Danio rerio: one gene and its partner. The protein of the gene in region 2 binds, or shares a complex with, the protein of the main gene of each other region. Links are inferred from orthologs where the notes say so. Each region holds a gene or a part of one and is shown on either strand. Other genes may lie near its edges. The genes, in order: hypk and naa50.

Region 1 (6,316 bases), on a different chromosome or scaffold from region 2:
GAGACGAGCGGCAATTCCGCATTTCACCATTTCCAGATGAGAAAATCTCTCGGGTAAACAATGTTTCTTAGACACGTATTTCTGCCGAGTGTCGCGTGCACTGTTATCCACACAGGAGTCCAGTTGCGCTCTCATAACGGGAAAATGAAAACAAAAACCTTCCTTGCAGCAAATTATAAAAGCAACACTGACGAATCGTATCTCCAAACAACTCTTCTCCAACTTGTTTTGGCAACTCAACGTGGTGTCTCCCTCTGCCGTCTGAATACTGTACAGATGCAAACAGTCTTCGAAGCTATCATGCATATTAATGAAGTTTCACCGCATACACAATAGAGCATGCTGATTGGTTTGAACAAGCCTTTCTTATGAATTAATGCAGCACATTTAGAAACGTCATGAAGTCCTCCCAGGTACAGACAGCCAGCTTACACGCTGGAATGCACACAAGTATCTAATCGGCGTGACACAGCTTCAAAAATTTTTTCAAACCGGAAGAATGAATTTGCTCGAAATAACGCAAAAACAACCAAATGGTCTAATCCAATTCAGTGGTCTAAGCTAAGCTAAAAGTTCTCCCATTAGATATGCTGAATGGATTGAAAATTGGTCTAACTCTAGGCAACTTAAAATGAGCCTATTTTTTTAAAAAGTGGAATGTTCCTTAAAGAGTCTTTTCTTTTTGTGTTGATTGTGCAAAGTGCAGTTAAATATAGTCCTGACTTCTCCATTTTAATAGTCTAGAATCTATGTGAATGCCAATTTCACTAATGATCTGTGTGCTTTGTAGGTCAAAAACTTTGGACGTTCTGGACGGACCAAATACACACACTTGGTGGATCAAGACACCACTTCATTTGACTCAGCCTGGGCTCAGGAAAGTGCTCAGAATAGCAAGTTCTTCAAACAGAAGGCAGGGGGCGTGAGAGACGTGTTTGACCGGCCAACAGTACAGAAGAGGAAGACATAATCCTGTTCATCACGCCAGAAAGAGCAAATTCAGCTCAAACAAGGACACTTTTTTTTTTACTTTTCCCCTCCTCTACATCACTCTCTGTTTACTAGTGTCTTGTGCAGAAGTAGGAGAAATCTCATAACAAAGACATTCGATGTTTATTGCAGTTGAAATCCAGTACATCTAGATAATGTTTGATTGCGTGTACAGAATTGAGGCTTTTGTTTCACTTTCTAAAAGAAAAAAAAAATGTACTTTTAGTTGTTTTATGGTAATAAATTACTGTGACACTGAGCTCATTGGAATGCATTTCCAAAAAAAGGGGGGGTTGGAGAATGTAAAGCATGAAAAGGGGTGAGTTGAACTATTGAGGGCTGTTAAAAATGGTTCCTTTATTACAGAATAAGTACAGTGTGGAAAAGGTAAGGTCATCACAAGCGGGAAAAAAGGCAGTCCAATGTGTCCATATACAGCTCAAAACTTTCAATCTCCTCAGTTGGTGAGTGCGATCAGAGCCTCCACCACATTCCCCATGTGTTCTCTCAGACTGCGCTCCGCCACGGCTCTGGAAATCTCCATCTCTCCCATCTGAGAGAAACACGTTAACATGTTTATCCTCGTCAAATCATCTAAATCAGTGAATGCACTGCTCTATACTTACTATGAGCTCCACGTCTTCTTTCTTTATTGTTACTTTGGCCAGCTCCTTTTCTCTGTGGAAGTGACATTGTCATTTATTAACCACGTATTTTCTCTGGCAAAATGTGTGTTTTAATGTTAAAGCGATAGCTCACCCAAAAATGAAAATTTGCTGTTAATTTTACTCTTAGTCCCTCTCGGAACATACAATAGTGAGGCTTTTCAAGTTTTGAAAATAAGAATATTTTTGAGGAACAGCACATGCTAGGGACACCTGCTGGCCGAAATCATGCAAATGCAACTCAAACTCAGGGAAAACACTGCTTTTTTAAACATGTTGCAAACTTTAAATTGAAAGTTTAAACCATAAATGCACTACTGCATAATCTAATATCATGAAATATTTAATGTATACTATATAATATACATTCATTTGTACCTTTTCAAGTCTTATATCATTTGTGACATGGTGGGATCTGATAACAGGACAAGAGACAGGGTTATACACATTTTACAACTAAAAATCCAAGACTTAAGTAAATTTTCATGACCTAATGTTTCATGCAAAGTCCACACATGCCTGGTAAAAGAAAAACAATGCATGTTCAAATATATAATAGCATATTGGAAAACACTCAGCAATTCACTTAGTTTTAATTTAGATTTCCATCTATGTAAAATTGGTTAAGATAAGGCTTACACCAACTAATAAAGTAAGAGTATGTGATTGGCCAAGGACAGAAAAGAAGTCAAGACATCTAACCCAATGTTTCAGCAACATTTATTCTTCCATGGCAGGGGGCCACACCAAAATTCATCCCACCATGGCTATATTACAGCTTCTCAATCAAAACATTTAGTTGCTTGTTTGTTTTTTAATAGCGGGTTATATATCGCACCAAAACGTATTAAAATGCAAGTGAAATATATCAGCGCAAACTTAGTGCTGTGCGTAATTCGTTTAACCCTTTAAGGTGACATGCTGACTGACAGACACACACACACGTTCTCTCCTAACCATGACATGTCCACACTAAATGGTTATAAGAGACATGTTTAAAGGGTTACATGAATACATGCTTTATTTTTTCTCCTCAGTATGATGAAAGCTTCACTTCAGTATCATACTTAGAGGAAAAATGTGCTTTATGCAATGGCACAATTATATAAAGCTTGAAGCATCAGAATCGGTACTCTTTATCAGCCAATTGCATGACACGGAGTCAGTAGTCAACATGGGCTGTAATGATCTTGATCAGAGCATCCCTATTTAAACTCAGCGTTTATGTCAACAATAAAAAACAAAAACGTTATTTGTTTTTATACCTATTAAGTAAGTAACTTTTTGCAGATTGTCATTTTTCAAAGCTTCTGTCTACCAAGAACATTTGATATAATGTAATGCTTAACGTTATATTCTACTAAGAAAAAAAGGTTGCAATTTGGCTGACCCAAGAAAAAGTACATTAATAGCAAATTTAAATTTTTGAGTGAATTATACTTCAAATGAAGGTAAGGATTGATGGGAATTGCTCACCTTTCTTGTTTTGCCTTCTGTTCTCTGGATCTTCTGTCTCCAATCACGGACATTGCCTTAAATAAAACAACTACGTAAATTAATTTTGAAAACCCAAAACATTAACCATATACTTTATTGAGAGGATCAACACTGTTCTTTAAATTTCCTACACTAATTACATTTTTTCAGGGCGTTGACATCTCGGCATAGTAAAGCACAAATTATTACACAAACTTATTTATTGAGAGTTTCAATTACTAATTTGGTAGTTCAGCAACACATAGAGGTAAAGTTGGTTTTATATTTGCACATTCTAACTTTCCCCTTAATAATTTAATTTCATAAAAGTATTATTAGCCAACTAAACAGTGAAATCATATTAGCAGCCAATGACTATCAAAGTACAACATTGTTCACAGTCAAATAAACAGTGTTAATGTTGTTTTTAAGTCACACTGGCATGCTAATTCCGATCGAATATTTAAAGTAACATGGTAAAAAATATAGATACTTCCAAGTTAAATGAACGAATGTGCGAATATAAAACCAACTTTACCTCTATCAGCAACAGGTTGAAAAATCCGCCGATAAACTTGACAATATCAAGACATTGAAAATTAAGACTTTGCACGATCAGATGTATCGTAGTTCATTGAGTTTTAATACAGAAACCTGCTGTGCACATGGCTTCACTGCTAGCCTGACTAGCTTCATTCGCTTTTAAAACTCACCGTTTCCAAATTTGAGCTGGATATTTCTTTTTCCTCCGCATAGTCGGTAACCTTTTCTAAATCAGCAGCTCCACTGTCATGCTTTCTCGGCTTTTCTGTCGGTTTTCCCGTACAGTTCTCCTCAGCCTCCAGATCCAGATCCACATCTCCTTCAGCCGCCATGTTTGATTCCTCGCGCAGCCGGAACGAAAAACAGTGATGAAAAAAACCCGAACTGACATTCATGCAACACACTATGAGGTCACGTCACGTGTGTAAAAATATTATAAAAGGATAATGCTTTGCAGTTTGATATATAACAATAATTTTAATAACATCAATATTTTCTTTCTTTTTTTTTTCATTTAATGAATTTTTTTTCATTAATTAATTAATTTATTTTACGATGGCCTAGTCCCTTTATTACTCAGGGGTCACCACTGTGCAGTGAACCCCCAAGTTACCCAGCATATGTTTTACGCGGCAGATGTCCTTTCAGCTGCAACACAACACTGGGAAACACCCATACACACTCTTTCACACACATACACTATGGCTTATTCAATTCACCTATAGCGCATGTGTTTGGACTATGTGGGAAACTTAAGCACAAGAAGGAAACCAATGCCAACACAGAGAGAGCATACAAACTCCACACAGAAAAGCCAACTGACCCAGCTGGGGCTCGAACCAGCAACATTCTTGCTGTGAGGCGACAGTGCTAACCACTGAGCCACTGTGCCGCCTTTTATTATTATTATTAATATTAGCCGTTTATATAAAACTATAATTCTTTGCAGTTTGCTAATTATTATAATACTCACTTTTTGGCTTATTCTCTGGTTATCAGGGGTCGCCACAGCATAATGAATCGCCAATTACTCTGCCATTTGATTTACTGGTGGATGCCACGCACTACAACAAACTTAATTTATTCAATTCACCTATACCGCATGTTTTTGGACTGTGGTGCAAACCGAAACACCCAGAGAAAACCCATGCAGACATGGGGAGAACATGCAAACTCCACATAGAAAAGCCTCCTAAGAAGACCTGAACCCCTGTGTGCAAAACTATAAATCTGTCTTCCGTCCCCCACCTCATCACACGACAACCCCAAAACATTATCAACTCTGAGAGTGCCTCGCACAAGTGAGGGGGCTTGACAATCCACCTGTAGAAAACACATCTTTTAATTTCTGACACTTTAAGCAACACTAGTTTTGCACATTTGGATTAGAAACATTCTTACAATCACTCCATATATATATAAAAAAGAAAAACACACCTCCCCTCTAGCATTTATATGAGCACAAACAGTTCCTTTGTATAATTAGCAGGTATTGCCTCTTCTTGTTAAATCGCTGTATGCCTTCTCTATTGTAAATCGCTTTGGACCAAAGCTTTTTCTAAATGACTAAATGTAAATAATTCATAATGTCTGTAGTAAATGCACACCCTGATCTGACGCAAGAGAGAAGACTATAGGCAGGGGTGTCGATAGACTCCAATGGGGCATGTGTCCCAGTACAAATGGCCAGAGCTCCAGTGAATGTGTTTAGTTACAGTTTTTCTTTATATGTATTAATTAATAGTGGTCATCTCAGAATAAAGACGTTATTCTGTGTGCTGGAATAGACTGCACAATGGCGTTAGTTTCCAAAAAAATGTATTGAGATTAATTAAAGTCTTGATATCTTTCTCTTTGGCAGATAGGCATGGAGCATGTGAAGAAACAAGGAGACACAGCTCACCTCTGACAAGTACATCGTAATAAATTAGCTACGATGTAGAAATTACATCAAATGTGTAAACAAACGATTAATAAACCATTCAAATACATCTTATTTTTCAGGAGGAAAGTTACAGCGTGTGCTTTATTCCAATTGTTTTGAGTGAGGATTATTCATGCATTGTTAAGTGAGGAATATTTATAACATACTAAATATCTTATAAATGACACTTCAAGGCTGTTATATTGTTTACAGAATAGGGAAATGACAATTGAACAACAGAGATTCAGCACAAACAAATATTCATTTAAAGATAGAAAAATGAAACAGTACAACTGCATCAAATAAAAAAAAATAAACCTTTGTAATAAGAATGTGCAGTTTACACACTGCTGAAGTGTCAAAATAGAGGGTCTGTACATTAAACAAATTTGATAAAACAGCAGCAATAGCCTATAATTAAAAATATAACAACAGGATAAAACCTTTCAGTGTTATTTAGTTTAAACTCAACTATGTTTTATTTTTAGAGATTACGCAGGCTAATTTATTATATACCTGAAAAAAAGATGTATAAATGCATGCAAAATATCAAATGAAAAATCAAAGTTGCTATTATTTATATACTAAAGAGGTTTACATTACAGGGACCCAAATCTTTTACAGAATTATTATTATTATTGTTATTATAGTTATTATTCGATTAATTGGGCAAATTACAGTAATTAGGCAAGTCATTGTATAACAGTGGTTTGGTCTG
Region 2 (6,476 bases):
TTTAATCAATTCATAGAAGTTTAAAGATTTTAGTAATCCTGAAATTCAAGATAATCATTCTGCAGTTTGACAGCTGTTTGCATCCCTTCTTAGTGAATTTAGGCTCTGTGTTGCATGTGAAAATACCACATTTAACCCTTTCACGCGTGAGTTTTAAATACTCCAGCTGACCCTTCTGCATAAGTTTTTTTGTGACCATTACTTAGAATCCATTGAGTTCTTAAGTTCACATGGCGATGCATTTATTGTGACCCACCAGCCCTAATGATCTAATTGCTATATTGATGCAAGTTTACTTGGCTGTATCCTATTAAGACTTCAGCACAGTCTAGATCTAGATACCATTAAGTCTAGAGGGGATAGAGCTGAGGATATTCACACCAATATGGCATCATTTTTTGACACTGAACAAATTTTTACATTACCGTGAGGGTTGGGATTGGGGTAGATGCAAATAAAATACAATTTATGCAAAATTTAATAAATAATATTAATACTTCTCGTTAACTGCAAACTTATATTTATTGTGTATATTCATAAATTTCTGCTGAAATACATGAAGGGCAGCAAATATTTATCTGGGAGAGGAATAGAGAAAATATTCTAGTAACATAAACTGTGTATCTTATGTGAACAAAGCACATATTCCAGTTATATTGAAAAATAATGATTATTGCCATCTCCAAAGATATTTTTCAAACCTTAAATGGCATGTTTTGCTTGTAGTTGTGTATTTGAAAGTCTGAAATCTAAAATAAATGTTATTTGTTTGAAGCATGGATAAACTGTGATTTATGACAAGTGCTGAGCACTACATTCAGTGCCTCAGCATGCGCCTTCAGTTATGAATTTTCTAATCAAACCGGTGTGATCGTATGCTTCAAGGACCAGCCAAGGCTGAGATCATACACGTGAAAGGGTTAATTACATGGGTTTACTACAAACGTACCTCATAACTTCCATGGAGTGCTTGAAATAAGTTGTATAGTTTATTAGTCACGTTGAATCAATGAAACAGTTCCCTTATTTCTTTGCGGCAGATGTGCACCCTCTGGCCTTCTGAGGAGAATTACTAGTGATCACAGAGTCAAATTTCACTGACAGGATGTGCATGACAATCACAGCCTTTGATGAATTGCAATCTCCATTTCATTTTGATTAATCACAAGGCCCTAAAAAAAGACTTACAGAATTACAATATTTTTATTATTATCTGAGATTTACGGTGACTTATGTTCCAAACTGACTTATAAAATGCCATTAATGTAAAGCTATCAAAAAATGAAAAGCTTGCACGCATTTTGTTTGACAGTAAAGGATAAAATATTTGTATTTTGTTTTTACACTCACTGCTAGCTTCAGTTTATTTTAATTTATTTGGTCTTGACAATATATAGACTTTAGAATTTTTTTATTCGAAAAAATACTACACAAAATATTTCAGTTCTTATTATGTCCTGAACAGTTGAGTTACGGCTTTGTTGTGAAGTGAAGTGAATTCAAATGTAAGTGTTTTGCATCAGCGTTGTTACATACCTAGCTTGGCAAGCTCTCCCACTTCAAGAACATCTTTGTAGAACTTGTCGTTGTAGCTGACAGGGAAGATCACTTGATTCAGACGCTTCAATTGTTTAATGTTGTGGGGTGTAACATCCCCCAACTCGATCCGGCTACTAGAACAAAAGCAGAATGGTCAACTAGCTGTGAACTGACAAACAATGTCCTTTTCTTTACATGTCAGGTCAGCAAACAGTCCACATAAATGACAATATTACAGCTTTACTATTAGAAAAGCCCAAGATATTAGTACAATATCAGTTATCAGTTGATTCTGCTGCATACAAAGCGTCTATGGATATCCATTTTTACCTAATATTAGATTTATACATCATTGTCATTTGTGCTCATTGAACTTCAGGAACAGTAAAATTAATAATGTATACATGATCTTCACTATTTAATCACATTTAATGGTGTAATACTTAAATTACTTCTATAGTTGAATGCAACAGAGTATTTCATTTATTTTATATTAAAATTTGTATTGTATTTAAGCGATAGTTCACCTAAAAATTATAACTTTGTCATTGTTTCCTCATAGTCCACTTATGTCAAACCTGTTTGAGTTTCTTCTGTTGAACAAAGGAAGATATACTGAAAAATGATAGGAAAAAAACAGCCATTAATTTAAATTTGGTTTCTTTTTTCCGACATCATTTGTGTTCAACTGAAGAAAAAAATTTGTAAAAGTTTGGAAACACCTTAGATCGAATAAATGGTGAGAAAATTGTATTTGGGGGGGGGTGGGGGGGGGGGTGGGGGTGGGGGGGGTGAACTACCCCTATAATAACTTAGTATCAGCACATCCTCATTTATCTTTCGTGTGTGTGGGTGTGTGTGAGAGAGAGATACCCTAAAGGTGCACCCACAAAACTACACATTTCTTGTATAACTATGATCACCGTAAACCAGCAGTGCAAAAAGCAGGTATTTATAGGGAGGCAGCAAACTGAAGCCCAACACCAACAACAGCTGCTGGTCACATGTTCACCACTGCCACTGAACAACCAGCATGAGTTGACAGGAGAAAAACATACACACTAAATAGAGTTTACAGAACTTATGATCACAGAACAAATGCCTATACTACTATACACGGTCTTGAAATCAAAGTCCACTGATTAAAACAAGTTAGATAATAAAGTTTACCAATGCTTGGTAAAGCGATGAGAGTAAATACGTTTCAGATGATATTGCAGACTTTTAAAGCAATGGTGCACCACTTCTGTTCATGAAGGGCCCCTTAAAAATACATTTAGTATGTTTTTTTCTAGTGAAACACCTGATTCCCTTCAGCTCCATAGCAGAGACTCTTAATGGGTGTGTCGGATAAATGTGTACTGCTGGAGGCCTTCCAGGAACAGGGCTGGGTACCACTTTTTTACAGATGTGAATTCAAAACTTTAAAATATGAAATATTTTATGATATAAAACAGAATTGGATTTAGAATAAAAATTTAAATATCGCTGACTTTTCTTTATTCTACACACATGGTCACAGCAAACCACTACAGTGAGCTTAACGTAGCATATTAGACATATTTATGCATCGTTTCATCCATCAAACGTTAAAGAATCGTCCTTCATAAAGTGTTTTAAGACCGTATGAACTTGTTCTGTCATTTTCAAAGAGGACATGCTATGCGGCTAAGCTCACTCCATCACGTGTGTCACATTTCAATTCTTACATCAAAATAATCTCACATTAACCCCAACATGACAGCAACAAGCTTTAATACACTGCTATTAAATGTAACGATCCATCTGGGCGCCCATTTGGGAGAGGTTTCAGATTGGCTTGCTAACCAAGATAGCAACTTGAAGACTGACTCAACATTTTCGGATTTAGATTCGACACACGATCCAGTTTGGCACGGACTTCACTCGTGCCGTTTGTACTGGCATAAGATTTAATCTGGTGCTAGATTACATGAGGCACTTTTAAGCTATTTTCTGGAGATTTTGGGAAAAGATTAAGGTAAAACTAGGTGTAAAAACGCGGCGCAAATGTCTCTTCTCCACATTAAGCGCGCAGAGAGCTAACAGCTAGCATTAGAGCAACTCCACTGCCCCCCTGCTGGAAAAAAGAGAATAGAGAGGGGAAAACTTTACTTGAGAGGAATAGAGCCTTCTCTGTCGTCTACTCACCCTTTCATGTTGAAGAAAACACGTTTGTTGTGAGGGATACAGGGGCAGTTGGCGGTATTTGGCAGTCTAAAGGGAAATTTGGGCAGAGTTTGGGATGTGATCCCCTCCACATGTATGTTGCTAGCACACAAGCTAAGCAGTCCGCATTTGCCTCTGTGCTGTGGCCGAAGGTTGCCAAGTCTTTCCTATTAAACCAACACATATAACTTAGATCAGATTGTGAATTAGGAAAACGATATTTTAGTTGTTTTTTATAGTTGATTTATCGATAATGTTCATTTATAGATATAAATTATGTCATATGAGTTGAGATTGAACCCCGAAATAGGCATTTACGACTATACATAAGTAATTAGTCGGTGGTTACTGATGGTTGATTTGGCAACCTTGAATTCTGGGAGGCTGCTGCTGTCAACCTTCACCACTGACAACTAGCAACAGGAAATAGAAAAAAAACGGGAAATTGCGTTTTTGTGACTTAATAATACAAGTCTTATTGTTTTAATCCAAATAAAATGTTGTATAATCTCCTTCTCTAAAGACTTAGAAGGATTTAAAAAAAAATAAAAACATATTTCATGGACGTGATCTAATACAAGAATATTTTGTAAAATAAATAAAAGTGTTGTCCTTGGAATAAAACATTTATCTTCTCCCTGTTTGTGAAACCAGACCAGGTTTTATTGTTTTGAGTTTGTGTTGGCTTGTATTTCAAACTTATATTTAAACTCACAATACCGTGTTCAAAATTACACTGTTAAAAATTCCTTTATTTGCTTATTACAGCAAGATTTTGCCCCTTAGGTTACACAGATTTCACTCCACATATAAATGCATCAACTTGCTGCAATCTGTTGACTTATTATAGGTGCATATATTCATTTAATGTGTTCTAAAATTAAATTAATCTGACATTTTAAATGTATAGTCCATGACTGTCTACTTACACGTAGAAACACCCTTAAAAGAAAATGCCACCAACGAAAGTTACATTTTTAGTTTGAAGGGTGTAAGGTAAAATAATTTATTAATCACAGCATAGTATGCGATAGCCTAATCACTACTCTTCTTGAGTACTTTTAGAAAGGCTACTTTTACTCACACATCGAGTGGTATTTAGAAAACAGATACATTTACAAGTGTCTTGCACTGCATTATTTTGGCAAATAACAGTACTTATGCTTGAGTATGATGTTCAGTACTCTTTCCATCACTGCTTGTCAGGTAAACATGTGTTTTGTCAATTACAATACAATTACAATAGTCAGTTTAAAGGTAGGGGTGGCTTCTTCTTGGTTCGAGTCCCAGTTGAGCCAGTTGGGATTTGTGTGTGGGGTTTACATGTCCTCTCCATGTTCGCCTGGGTTTCCTCTGACAGTCCAAAGACATGCGATATAGGTGAATTGGATAAAACAAAATTGGCTGTAGTGTGTAAGTGTGTGTCAAGAGTTTATAGGTTTTTCACAGTGGGTTGCGGCTGGAAGGGCATCCGCTGAGTAAAACATATGCTGGATTAATTGGTTGTTCATTCCACTGTGGTGACCCCTAATAAAAAGGGACTGAGCCAAAGGAAAATAAACAAATGACTTTAGAAGGCAGTGTTTAGCATATAAGATGATCTGATCTGAACCATGCTGAACCTTTTGACACTTGAATACCAAGACAGAAAAGCCTCCAAAGATGATGCTTAAAATCACTTATTGGCAGAGAACATTTGTCTTTTGACTTGATCTTTCAAAGTGAGCTGAGTTGAGAGAAGAGCAAGCGATGGGAAGGAAGTGTGGAAGGAGAATCAAATTTAAATGACAGATTGAAGGGAAACAAGATTTGTTGGTGTGAAATACACTGTATTTGTACTGTCCATATGAGAAGATCAAAGTATGTGAATTACACTAGATTCAAACGTACGCTCTCTGGTTTCCATTTTCATGTTATATTTTGCAGCAATTTCTCTCTTTTTGGTTAAGCATTATCTCCACTACTTTTTTAAATGGACATTTCTGTTACCTCAAACATGTTACTTGTGAGTTCATTCATTAATTTACCTTCAGCTAGTCCCTTTACTCATCAGGGGTTGCCACAGTGGAATGAACTGACAACTTACCCAGCATATGTTTCACACAATGGATTTCCTTCCAACTCCAACTCAGTACTGGGAAACACCCACACACACCCATTCACACACATCCACTATGGTCAATTTAGTTCATCCTATTGACCTATAGCGCATGTCTTTGAACTGTGGGAGAAATCAGAGCACCCAGAGGAAACCCTCTCCAACACAGGGAGAACATGCAAACTCCACACAGAATGCCAAATGGCCCAGCTGGGACTCAAACCACTGACCTTTTTGCTGTGAGGCGACAGTGCTAACCATTGAGCCATAGTGCCGCCCTAATAGTAAATATTGTACCCTATTAAATTTTTCATCCTTTCCATAAAAAAGTGTATTTGTGTAATCGTCCATGTCTCTGTTATTTATAAAAGCCACAGCACAGTCCCTGTTGAGTTTCTTGGATTATTGTTTAAGTTTTCTTATTCTTTCCTCTAGTGATAATACTGAAATGGGTAACATTATTTAGAAGATCTGTATCTTTACTAAATTAATTTAACATATGCTTACAATATCCTTTAATTTTTTGTTTCATTTTTTATACTTTATTTTAAATATATATATTAAAACTTGCATTTACAAAATGTGTAAATATGAGAAAAAAAATCAAGGACTTGTTAAATAGGTATTTTTAAAACTCAATTTGAAACAAAAT

Evidence for each region.
Region 1: naa50 (region 2) and hypk share a complex: the UniProt entries of both Homo sapiens proteins name them as parts of the N-terminal acetyltransferase E (NatE)/HYPK complex. The link is inferred for Danio rerio from reciprocal best matches to the Homo sapiens genes NAA50 and HYPK.

Annotation. Positions count from the first base shown.
Region 1 is NC_133182.1:52,248,422-52,254,737, forward strand, and holds hypk (huntingtin-interacting protein K), read right to left. Parts: upstream 4,012-6,316; 5' UTR 4,007-4,011; coding exon 3,845-4,006; intron 3,188-3,844; coding exon 3,132-3,187; intron 1,669-3,131; coding exon 1,617-1,668; intron 1,544-1,616; coding exon 1,448-1,543; 3' UTR 1,331-1,447; downstream 1-1,330. UniProt on the Homo sapiens protein: Component of several N-terminal acetyltransferase complexes. Inhibits the N-terminal acetylation activity of the N-terminal acetyltransferase NAA10-NAA15 complex (also called the NatA complex).
Region 2 is NC_133199.1:25,052,575-25,059,050, reverse strand, and holds the start of naa50 (N-alpha-acetyltransferase 50), read right to left. Parts: upstream 3,836-6,476; 5' UTR 3,717-3,835; coding exon 3,709-3,716; intron 1,674-3,708; coding exon of another isoform or gene 1,671-1,673; coding exon 1,537-1,670; intron 1-1,536. UniProt on the Homo sapiens protein: N-alpha-acetyltransferase that acetylates the N-terminus of proteins that retain their initiating methionine. Has a broad substrate specificity: able to acetylate the initiator methionine of most peptides, except for those with a proline in second position.